2 linked regions of the Nothobranchius furzeri genome follow. The protein of the gene in region 2 purifies or fractionates together with the protein of the main gene of each other region. This does not show direct contact. Links are inferred from orthologs where the notes say so. Each region holds a gene or a part of one and is shown on either strand. Other genes may lie near its edges.

The links. Proteins that work in one complex are often made in the same cells at the same time.
Region 1: the proteins of gnl2 (region 2) and srpk2 purify together in Homo sapiens (affinity purification with mass spectrometry; 3 studies listed by BioGRID and IntAct, with this or other methods). This does not show direct contact. The link is inferred for Nothobranchius furzeri from reciprocal best matches to the Homo sapiens genes GNL2 and SRPK2.

Annotation. Positions count from the first base shown.
Region 1 is NC_091744.1:58,372,312-58,377,998, reverse strand, and holds the start of srpk2 (SRSF protein kinase 2), read left to right. Parts: upstream 1-2,224; 5' UTR 2,225-2,347; coding exon 2,348-2,363; intron 2,364-2,574; coding exon 2,575-2,641; intron 2,642-5,687. UniProt on the Homo sapiens protein: Serine/arginine-rich protein-specific kinase which specifically phosphorylates its substrates at serine residues located in regions rich in arginine/serine dipeptides, known as RS domains and is involved in the phosphorylation of SR splicing factors and the regulation of splicing.
Region 2 is NC_091745.1:70,697,707-70,702,952, reverse strand, and holds part of gnl2 (nucleolar GTP-binding protein 2), read right to left. Parts: intron 2,465-5,246; coding exon 2,306-2,464; intron 2,152-2,305; coding exon 2,044-2,151; intron 1,951-2,043; coding exon 1,490-1,950; intron 1-1,489. UniProt on the Homo sapiens protein: GTPase that associates with pre-60S ribosomal subunits in the nucleolus and is required for their nuclear export and maturation.

The sequences.
Region 1 (5,687 bases), on a different chromosome or scaffold from region 2:
CCATTTGAAAGCCACTATTAGTGTGGGACAACTTATTTTTTCATTGACCATATCGTCTAATCTCACAACTGAAACAAGCATCCTTAATAATCTGTGCACATGCTTGCCGATGCTGTAGTAAAACAACAGGTATAATAATTTATTATTAATAAAACCTTGTTGCAGCACTAAAGCAGAAAAATGAGATTTTGCAATAAATATGCAAAATATTTACATATTAATTGTTTTAAAGCCCTTTTATTGGCAGAATCAGATATTAATTTTAGTTCTTACAAAAAATGGGTCCCAACATGGTTTGTGTGGCGTTGCCATAGTGTGACGTCATAGGCACAGATCCCCTGTCCTCTTGTTTGGAAATGGAAATATGGTCACCCTACATTAAACAAACTGTCCACCCGGGCTTTTACACTGCACAGAGACGCTTCGCTGCCTATGAATCTGAACGTCAGTTGAGAGTCAGTCTCATGCAGACTGACCAATGAAGAGAGGGCCTCAAGTTAAGACCCTCTCCTCATTGGTCAGTCCACACGGGGTGGGCCAAAGGTTACCCTGAGCGGGTTACGTGATGTCAGGCATTCAAGTATTGAGTATATTTACTGCATATTACAGTAAAATATTCTGTATGTGACCACATTATGGTGATCCTTGGGTCGTGATGATGGGGCCCTTGAATATTGTTGCCCAGGACACAACAAAGTGTTAATCTGGCCCTGCTGTTGGGAAAGAGAGACAACAATTTGCCTGAAGACGGATGTTTAAGATGTCCCTCCCCAGAGTGCATAGCCTCACCCAAGATGCCGATGAAGACATTTACCGCTTTCATATTAAATAAGGTGAAGGGGGATCAGCTTTAGCGTTTCATCCTTTGACAAAATTCCTAAAAAAAGGTTGGATCTTATGAAATTTTATGAAAACTGCTATGTCTCAGTGGTCTCCATTAGTGACATCATTGAGAAATGGTTTTGAGTATTAAAATCAATTAACCTAGGAGCTATTGAAAGAAATCACTTAATTTTTGATTAAAAAAACTAATAAAAATGATCAGATCTTGTGAAATGATAAAAACTGCTGTGTCTCAGTGGTCTCCATTAGTGACATCATTGAGAAATGGTTTTGGGTCCGTCCGTGTCTGGTCGGAATTACAAAGCATTCAAAAACAATAGCAATAAAGTTTTAAGCGTGACATTAAAAGCAGACACTTTGATGCTCCACCTGAGAGTAAATCTGTAAGGCCTGTCACCAGCATTCAAACATCAATTCTGTTTGCTTCACAGCCAGACAGGACACGGTAAAAAAAAAAAAAAAAAAAAAAAAAAAAAGGTTTTGGGTTTATTTACTGATTGAAAAAAATCCCTTAATTTTAGATTAATGTCCTAATAAAAAAGATCAGATTGCATGAAAGTTGTTATAAACTGCTGTGTCGCATTGGTCTGGCTTAGTAACACAATTAAGAAATGGTTTTGTGTATTTTGACTGATTTAGCTAGAATCAATTGAAAAAAATAATCCCCTTAATTTTGGAATAATATAATAAAACGTTCAGATTGTATGAAATGTGTTATAAACTGTGGTGTCTCATTAGTGTGGCTTAGTAACACAATTGAGAAATGGTTTTGTGGATTTAGACTGATTTAACTATGATCTATTGAAAAAAGTCCCTTAATTTTGGAATAAAATCCTAATAAAAAAGATCAGATTGTGTGAAATGTGTTAAAACTGTTTTGTCTTGTAAATGTAGCTTAGTAACACAAGTCATAAGTAATTTTGAGTCATTTAGGAAATTATTCTGGAAGTTTTTGATATTTTTTGTACTCGTTTACAAAGGACTACAAATTTGTTGATAGTCCCTAAGCGAACCACCGTTCACTATAGCGAGTCCTCGGAACTCAGCTAACCGCTGTCTGTGCCGCAGTGCACGGCATGAAGACTTATCGCTGACCGTGTAAACCAATGTCTGTCGAACATCCAACGTCCAACTTCAAGCTAACTTCACCGCGATCGTTGCACATGTGTACAAACGAAATTGACTTTGCGCTCACTAATGCAGGTTCACGTAAAAGGTAGAAAAATTAAATAACAATGAGGCTAAAACACACGCGCGCGCACACGCACGCAGGCGCGCACACACTCGCCCGTTCTACGGTGCAAAAACATAAAAGTATAATACGCGTGCGTGTGTGTGACATGGTTTTGGTCGTCTGTATCATCTCCGGTTCATGCGTCTAGGTGCGCTTTAGCCGACAGAGGGTGCGCGTGTCCCACGACCGTGTTGAGGTGGGAGAGGATCCGATCCGGCTGCTGCCGCCGAGCTCTCCGCTCTTGCTGCTGCTGAGAGGTACCGGAGAAACATGAGCTCCAGGAAAGGTGCGTATCTACACATCACACTTAACCCTACTTAATTGTAAGGTGGAGGCTGGCGGGTTTACGTCTGTCGAGCATCTGGCAGACGACGCTGCTTGACCCTGTTTGTTCCAGCCAGCTTTAAATCTGATGTGGTGATGTGTGTCTGATTTCTCTCCCCGACCCCCTAAACCCTTTCTCCGGACCTCTACTGCAAATGAACTTGGATCATCAGTGATGGCCATTCAGGCCCGGAAGAGGAGGCCAAAGGGGAAGAAGGACAGAGCGGGTCACCATCGGAGGTAAGTGGGGCGGCGGCGGCCGGGATATTGAACCGCTTTTAGTGATATAGTTTGTTGACAACGGCTTTCCCTGTCTGTGTGGCGCCGGTGCCGTCTCACAACAGATGAATGGTTTGGTATGGAGCGTGCACTCTCACCGAAACCGGCTCCTGCTGCCCTGTGGATTTCACCAAGTTATAGTTTGGTCTTCTGGGATCCTCACTTGGTTTATGGTTGCTCATGGCTTCTCATTGATTTTTGGGTTGGGACGTGTTAGAGGTCGTGATGTGACAACTCATTTCCGTGGTCCATTTAGTGAAAAGTCCCCCAAACGTCTGTCAGTGATTCTCTGGTTATGTAACTTTCGTCCAGGCGGTCAGAGCATGGTCTCCCCGGCTCACCTGGGGTATTTCAGCGTGACTTCCCCGGCGTGAGCGGCTTCATGGGACGTGAATGTGTGCAGTAGTGCAGCACCGTATATGCAGACTGGGGGCTTTCTTCATGGCACGATCCTATTGGTGGAACGTCACTGGCTGCACAATGAAAGCATCGATTAGGTGATGCCAACCGACTAGACACCCCACACAGAGCCACAGGAATTTACTGGAAAGCACAGTCGAACATGCAAGAGGTGTGCAAAAGAACAATTATAAAACATCTAAACATCACAAGATACCGTTTGGGGTCATTTGGTTTCCTTATATGCATGCTTATGACGTGAAGAAATATACTTCACACTAAATGAGATCACATCATAAAAATATATATTGTGTAGATTTAGAATTTTTTTTGCAGCAATACAAATTATTGTAAAAGATTAACAAGACGCAGCTAATAGCTCGTGTCTTTCATGCACAATAACACACGTGCACTGTGCACCAAAAAGACTAATTGGATTAAAAGGAAAACAGCGAAATCATGAGTCTGAAATATTTGGTCAGTTTAACCTGAACCCTCCAGCATACTTGCCTTTTTGTTAGGGATGCACCGATACCGATACCAGTATCGGTAAAAGTTAACCGATACCAGGAACCGATACTAATGCACATGGACGTCACTAGGATTGAGATATAGGGGGGGCTTAGCCCCAGGAGCTTGACCTTGAACATTTTTTTCACACCCTGCAAAACTTTGTCAATTAATTCATTATCTGAAGAACATTTAACAGAACCTATTATTTTATCACTTTCTTTTCCTTTCCTACCTTTGTGCATTTTCTCTCTTCTTTTTATAAAAAAATAACAACACTTAATCAGTTCATTAGTGGGGTCTATGTTGAAGAAAGATTTTTTATAAGTCCATTAAAAATTAGATATGTTATATTTCCAAATAAAGCTATTCATTTCAGTCTACGGCACTTAACAGGGGGAAATGTTGCAGTCATTTGTTTAATTTGTTTAATTACAACTTGCTTGATTATAAATGTTACTGAAATATGACAAAGAACAAATGAATAATTGTCAAACTTTTATTCTGCCAAATGAGTGTGCAGTTGACAGTTTTAATATATGAATAACACTGATATGACATGGAATAAAGGAGTATGTAATTAACAATGACAAGACAAAATAACAGTATATATAAAAATTAGGGCTGGGACTTGATTTAAATTTTTGATCTAATTAATTAGAGGCTTTGTAATTAATTAATTAATCTAAATTAATCGCATTTTAATTGTTCAGGAAAATGTGCTCTCAAAGCAAAACTTAATTAAAATTATGAGACAGAGAATTAAACATTAGACATAGTTATTACTGTAAAACTAAAGCTTTTAATAAAAAATGCATTTTAATTAATCAAATGTCACTGTGTGATATGAAACAAGACCCAAATCAACTAAAATTTATAATTACAAAGAGAAAATGCCTGCAAAGGGTGCCTTTAAATAGTCTCTCTGTCTAGTTGAATGACTGAAATAAATTTGACTTTGCGCAAGATTCAAATTTTTCCAGTTTTACTTGTATGTATAATTGGGAGTTTTTATTAGCATTTCTACTCAAAATGTAGTAAAAACACGTAAATAATAATCCTTCAAAATGACAGTGGAACAGGCAGAAATATGATCTAGGACTTAAATGTACTAACTTTTAACACCAGAGCAGGCATGGCATATTCTGAGAATGATCAGGAACACTAACTGGTTCCAGTTGGATGACTGGAGGATGATCGGAAGAAAAAAGATCATGGCGAGGAAATAATGATCTGACGAACAGGTGAGCGGACCTACATGGGAAGTCCTGATGTCACGTTAAGAAGGGGATGCTGCAGACCCGCAGATTCACGCCTGCTGCAGCGAATCTGGTGTGATCTCCAGCCTGATCACAACTTCCTTGTTCCTCGCTGCCCCTGATGCACTTGAGCATCCGCCCCTTAGCTGATGACAGCTTCAACACACCTCGCTGCTTAATGATAGTAATGCATGTGATGTTTAGACAGAGACTCGTCTCAGAAACATATAATTCCCCGACAGAATTGTTTAGAAAATCATCAGAAAAGTTTCAGAGTGTTTCTGTTTTAACTTAAACTTCTGTTTTCAACTTTAACTTTCACGTTGTCTGTGATTGTTTACAGAGTAGTGAGAACACGGAGCGTTCTCCCAGCGGCAGCCAGGTGCCTCTCGTTTGTCTTACTATCATAAACTACTGTTAGGGCACAGAATTAGTCTGTCTGGTGCTTTCAGCGCTGCACAGATGTTACGTAAATGTTAAAAATATAGCTTACCGCAACTTTTGTAAAGTTTCCGGTGCCACCGGGCAGCTGCAGCAGAGACGATCTCTGAAAAATGTCCGCGACACGGACTCCGTTGTTGTCTGGAAGTTTGTTTTTTTCAAGTTAAGAAAAGAGGCGGACGTGTTTCCTAAATCCTGCATCAGTCCAAGCAAGGCTACTTCTTTCCATTTTTATTCCGTTAGTAGCCATTAGCACTGTGCATTGTTGTGTGCGTCAGTGATATTCTGTCTACGAGGAAGTCGTGCAATGACAAAGGTTCTGCCGTGCTTGAAATGCAAGCTGCGATTAAATGCGTGAAATTTTTTTAACGTGTCCGCGTTAAAGTCCCAGCCCTAAA
Region 2 (5,246 bases):
AAGTCCCTGACTGAAAACTCTTATTTAGTGGTGATTTTGTTCTGGTTGATGAACTTTAAGGTCAAAACCGCCGCGAGACGTTGTAGCGACAGCACTCACACTCACTCCGAGTGCCGCTCTGCCTCATCGTCTGCAGCGTGCTGTCTCTGACTGTGATTGGTCAAATGACATGTGACTAACACACTGGAACAAAGATTGTATGTGAACAGGAATCCCCTCTCCTTTCTCTGATTGATTTCCAAAAGAGTGACTGAAACCAAACATAAGACCCCCTCCCCCCTTAAAGAAAGAAAAAAACTCTGGATCTACACGATTCACGTCAACGCTACATTTGGCTTCTAAAACGGCGATTTTTGCTGAAAAGCGACAAGTTTGCAGGTATGGTAATTGGAGCGTTTTACCCACAAGCGCAGTGACACGTCCCTACCCACAGGTGGCATTCACAGGGTATCTGCAGGTTTAGGGGAGCCAAATTTAAGACATTTTAAGACCCTTTTTAAGGCCACTTTGACCAAATTTAAGCTATTTTTAAAATTAAATTTAAGCTATAATTTCCAGCTATTGCCTGGAACCGGTGCTAACCACGTCGCGAACGTGGGATCAACCATCCAGTTACCATTAACCTTCCCCATGGCTCAAGCTCCCACTAGCTTAACCAGCTAATGTGCTCATCTAAACATAGCCCCCTTTCACAACCAGCTGAATGTGTACGGTTCCGCTTACACCAACATCACACACAAAAAATCCTGCACTAACTAGAAATTCATGAAAATTTTATAGAAATAAAAGAATCTTGTTTATTGGGTCTTTGTTAATTTAAGACCTTTGGAAACTGTATTTAAGGATTATTTGTCATTTTTAAGGATTTTTAAGGCCTTAAATTTGGAAAAGCTAATTTAAGACTTTTAAGGACCCGCGGATACCCTGGTTTCAAGACAGTCTCGCAAGATCACAAAATCACCAAAGAATTGAAAAAACTTTGCGTGATTTCTGTAGCTTACGAGATGACACGCAGATTTAAACGTATCCAAAAAGGTCCGTGGGACTTTGGCTACAACGGTCTCACGGGTGATGACAGACGAATTTTTTTAACAAGTTAAGCAGCTGGAAATCTTTTATTTTTCCAAGTTTCTGGATGTTTGACACTGCTCTTGTGTTTGAATGGACACATTAGCAAGTAAAATGTAGACTCCAAAACGCGCCGCTTCACAGCTGGTAGAAAAAACACCCATCCACCTTTGAAGCGGCTGACTCCTGCAGACTACGCTTCACCGACGCGTCCAGTGGAAAGGCTCGGTTAAGCAAATTTAAAAGCTGTCGTCTGCTGGACAAGACATGCGTGTTAGAAACTGACCTCTGACGAGCTAAAACGCCACTCCTGAATCGGTGTGCACAGATCACCTCCTTTGCACCGCCTGCCATCTTACTGCCAGATCAACTAAAGAGGGGTGGTGTGCAGACTGACACGTAGGATAACATAAGAACTCACCGAATTGCAGAGAAGCGCTTGGATTTAGCTTGGTCCAGGAACTGCTTATACTTGGCGATTTTCTCATCAAGCTCCCGTATGACCTCTCGTGAACTCTTTTTGACTTGTGCTCTATCAGTCTGAGAAGTCACAGCCTCAGAGACCCCCTCCTCTTCATCAGCTGGCTTTGCGATGGCTTCATCTTCCTCTCCATCACCTTCGTCAGCATCAGAGCCAGAGAAGTCGGACACGTCCAGGTCAGGCATGTCCACTGGAATCAGGTCTTCCTCGCTGAACTCCGGAGCTACGTTGATCTTGCCAAAGTTTTGTCGGACGTTAGCGAGGATCTTCTGGACCTGCTCTTTCTGTCTCTGCTGCTGTTCTGACTGTTCCTCAGAGACGGTGTCCAGATTTTCTGGCTGCTCTTCCTGCACCTTCTCCACTACAGCAGTAGGTGCTTCAACTGGCAACGGTTTTCCATCCTAAAGAAGTCCGATACAAAAGAATCAAATAAAAGCAACAGGCTGCTGATGAGACCAAATACACATTAAAGTTTTAACTCCGTTAACTCTTACTTCTTCTTCTCCCTCAGGACCCGGCGGCTTCACAAAAAAGGGAATTCGTCCCCTCTGCCAGTCATTTAACACCATTTTGGAGACCGTGCTGAGATCAGGCTCACCCCTCTGCATGACACAAACAAAACAATGTTTCTGTTAATAAATGCATGCTGCACACATAAATAACAAACACACACACTGCATTAAAACAGATTCAGCACTAAACCAAACTGAAATCTTGCACAACGAGACACAGAAAATGAAAAAACCAATGGGCGACCTTGAGAAGTTTGCCCGTGCGAAACGCCAGCTTCTCCAGGAAGTCTTGAGCAGATGTCCATGCAGGGACACGGTAGGTCTTCTGAATGTACTCGGGCTTGGCTCGCTCCAGCACCGCCCCTATATGGTCCTCTGGGTTCTTGATCTTCTCCACCTGAACCTTTGTGACAAAGAGGAAAAAAAAATTAAATCTACAATAACTTCGTTGTGAGTTACAGCGACTACAGTGATCCTCTGAATTAGGGGTCAGATTTATCGGTCTGGCCAACCCGAAATGGTGCAAGTACTCAAAAAGGCCCGCTACTCTTGTAGAGCTTGTAGTTAAAGTTGAAGTTGAAGTCCAGTCAGTTGTCACACACACAGATGTGTGTGCGAAATTTGTTCTTCACATTTGACCCCCCCGGGGGGAGCGGTGAGCTGCAGACACAGCTGCACTTGGGAACCATTTGGTGGTTTAACCCCCCAATCCAACCCTTAATGCTGAGTGTCCTGCAGGGAGGCATTGGGTCCCATTTTTTCTAAGTCTTTAGTATGACCCGACCAGGAATCGAACCCTGATCTCCCAGTCTCAGGGCGGACACTCTACCACTAGGCCGCTGAGCTGGGTAACTCATGCTGATTGGTTGCAACTCAGTAGGAAATGGCCTCAGCAGATGTCGCCAAACAATTTTTGCAAATTCGGAACTGCTGGTGAAGAAGAATGTAACGTAAATAAACAATATTCACTCTGCTTTTAAATCGCCGTGGCCTCAGTGGCCTAGTGGTAGAGTGTCTGCCCTGAGATCGGGAGATCAGGGGTTCGATTCCTGGTCGGGTCATACCAAAGACTTTGAAAAAAATGGGACCCAATGCCTCCCTGCTTGACACGCAGCATTAAGGGGTTGGATTGGGGGGTTAAACCACCAAATAGTTCCCGAGCGCGGCTTGTCTGCAGCTCACCGCTCCCCCAGGGGATGGGTCAAATGCGGAGAATAAATTTCACCACACACCTGTGTGTGTGACGACTAAATGGGACTTAAAAAAAAAAAACAGCAGAAACCCCCCAGAAAAATTTAATTAACAACAGAAAACGGCGCTTCTTCTGGTCACTGAACGCTTTTAACGTCACGCAGCCACTCTTCCATCCTCCGACCGGATGAAATTATGACGCACGTTGACAGAAAAAGACTGCTGAATTTGCGGTGGCCTCTAGCAGGAATGAATGTCTTGTAAGAGCTCAGGTGCGACAGTTTCTGCGTGGAGAATTCAGCCAGGGGAGAAAGTAACGTCAGACGGCAGGATCTGAGTCTTATTTCCTGATATTTGGACATCTCGCCTCGGACTGTATAACAGCAACGCAACTCCACCACTGATTTGCAACGTGGATGCTTATATGCACAAATATCACAAGCCTGGTGGAATACTGCTGTGTGGTGGCATTGCTAATGCTAACGGTTAGCTTCTACTAGTCGAGGCATTCTCTGCTGTTTCCTGGATGCTAAACCAACAATGGCCTTCCCCATCGTGAGTCAAGATGGGTGAGTCCAAACTCAGAGAGACCGATCATTTTCAAAAATAATAAATAAACAATGGTTTCTCGGCGAAGGCTCTTTAATGGTATTAATGTTCGTGGATGTCTTGTGGTGCTGGGGCCGGCGAGATTTCTGTGGCTTACTCGGAGACGACAGCTGAAAGTACCGAGCCATCACATCTCTTGGCCACTTTTCTCCCTCCCAGAAATGTCCTAGAACTCCTTCAGTGGGAACGGCTTGAGTTGAACAAAAGACCTGGCAGTTCTGGCTTGCTTTTAGCACCCCCTAGTGTCCGTTTAGTAAAACCAGAAGCAAAAGTTATCTCCTAGCTGGGGCTGGGTGATATTAGCCCAGCCTGCCAGGCTTGTCCCCTGTCTGTTCTACACAGAGGATGAGTCTGGATACTGAGCGCCCAGTGAGGGGCGGGACTAGCCAGCTCAAAAATAACCAATCAGTAAAAAGGCGGAAATGACAACTGCATCGCGCTATACTGTAGTTTTTTAGCTGTAGTCAAAGATGGAGTCTGGTGATGGCACAAACAAATTTCTTTACAAGAAAGGCTTTTAGCGCTTCATCTTATGGTTTTAAAGACACGTCCAAGTGGGATCCTCACTGTAACGTACCAAAAGGGCCAATTTTCACCTAGACATTGATCAACATAATAACCTTTCATCTACAGAAATAAATCCAATTTCTATTTGGCCTTCCAGAACCAGAAGGTTCTGCTTAGTGTGTGTTGACATTCCATCAAGACAAAACATTCAAACATTCTCACCCAAGGTTCTTACGCTCTCTGTGTGAACGCCAGACATCAACATTCTTCACTCTGAATGAGTGAAGACTCCATGATTTTACAGTTATAAGTTAAATAATCATATGTGATGAATGAACAAGAAGGCGTGGCTTTCTCAGGGATGTCTTGGTAAAGCCTTCCAGTCATGGCACATTCTGATTTGCCAGAATACGCCAGAAATTATAAATAATGAGTTTATTAAAACGAGAATTACTTCCCGAGTAATTCAGATTCCAGCTGACCCCCCGATTCGGCCAAATCGGGAAAGAAGCCTCTTCTGAAACAAATGTGTTTGGCCTTAAGTCAAAACCTTTCTGCAACGCTGCAAGTGATTAAAGACACAACAGCTCTTTTCAGAGCTACTTGAACTCAGACATCCACCTTGGACACCTAATCTGCAGACCCCGGGTTGCATCTCATGGCTGGGGAAGCTGAGCTCAGAGGAAGCTACTAATCTCGGAGTCTTTTGGTTTCGACGTCCGGTGACCTCACCACTCAACCACACCCCTCTGGACCACCAGGAGCAACTCATACAAGGGTATCGTAAGCCTGCATACTGGTGTCCGATGAGGTTTATAAATAAACAATTCTCTAGTTTATAACAAACAACAAATTCTTTTACACCGAGATTTAACAAT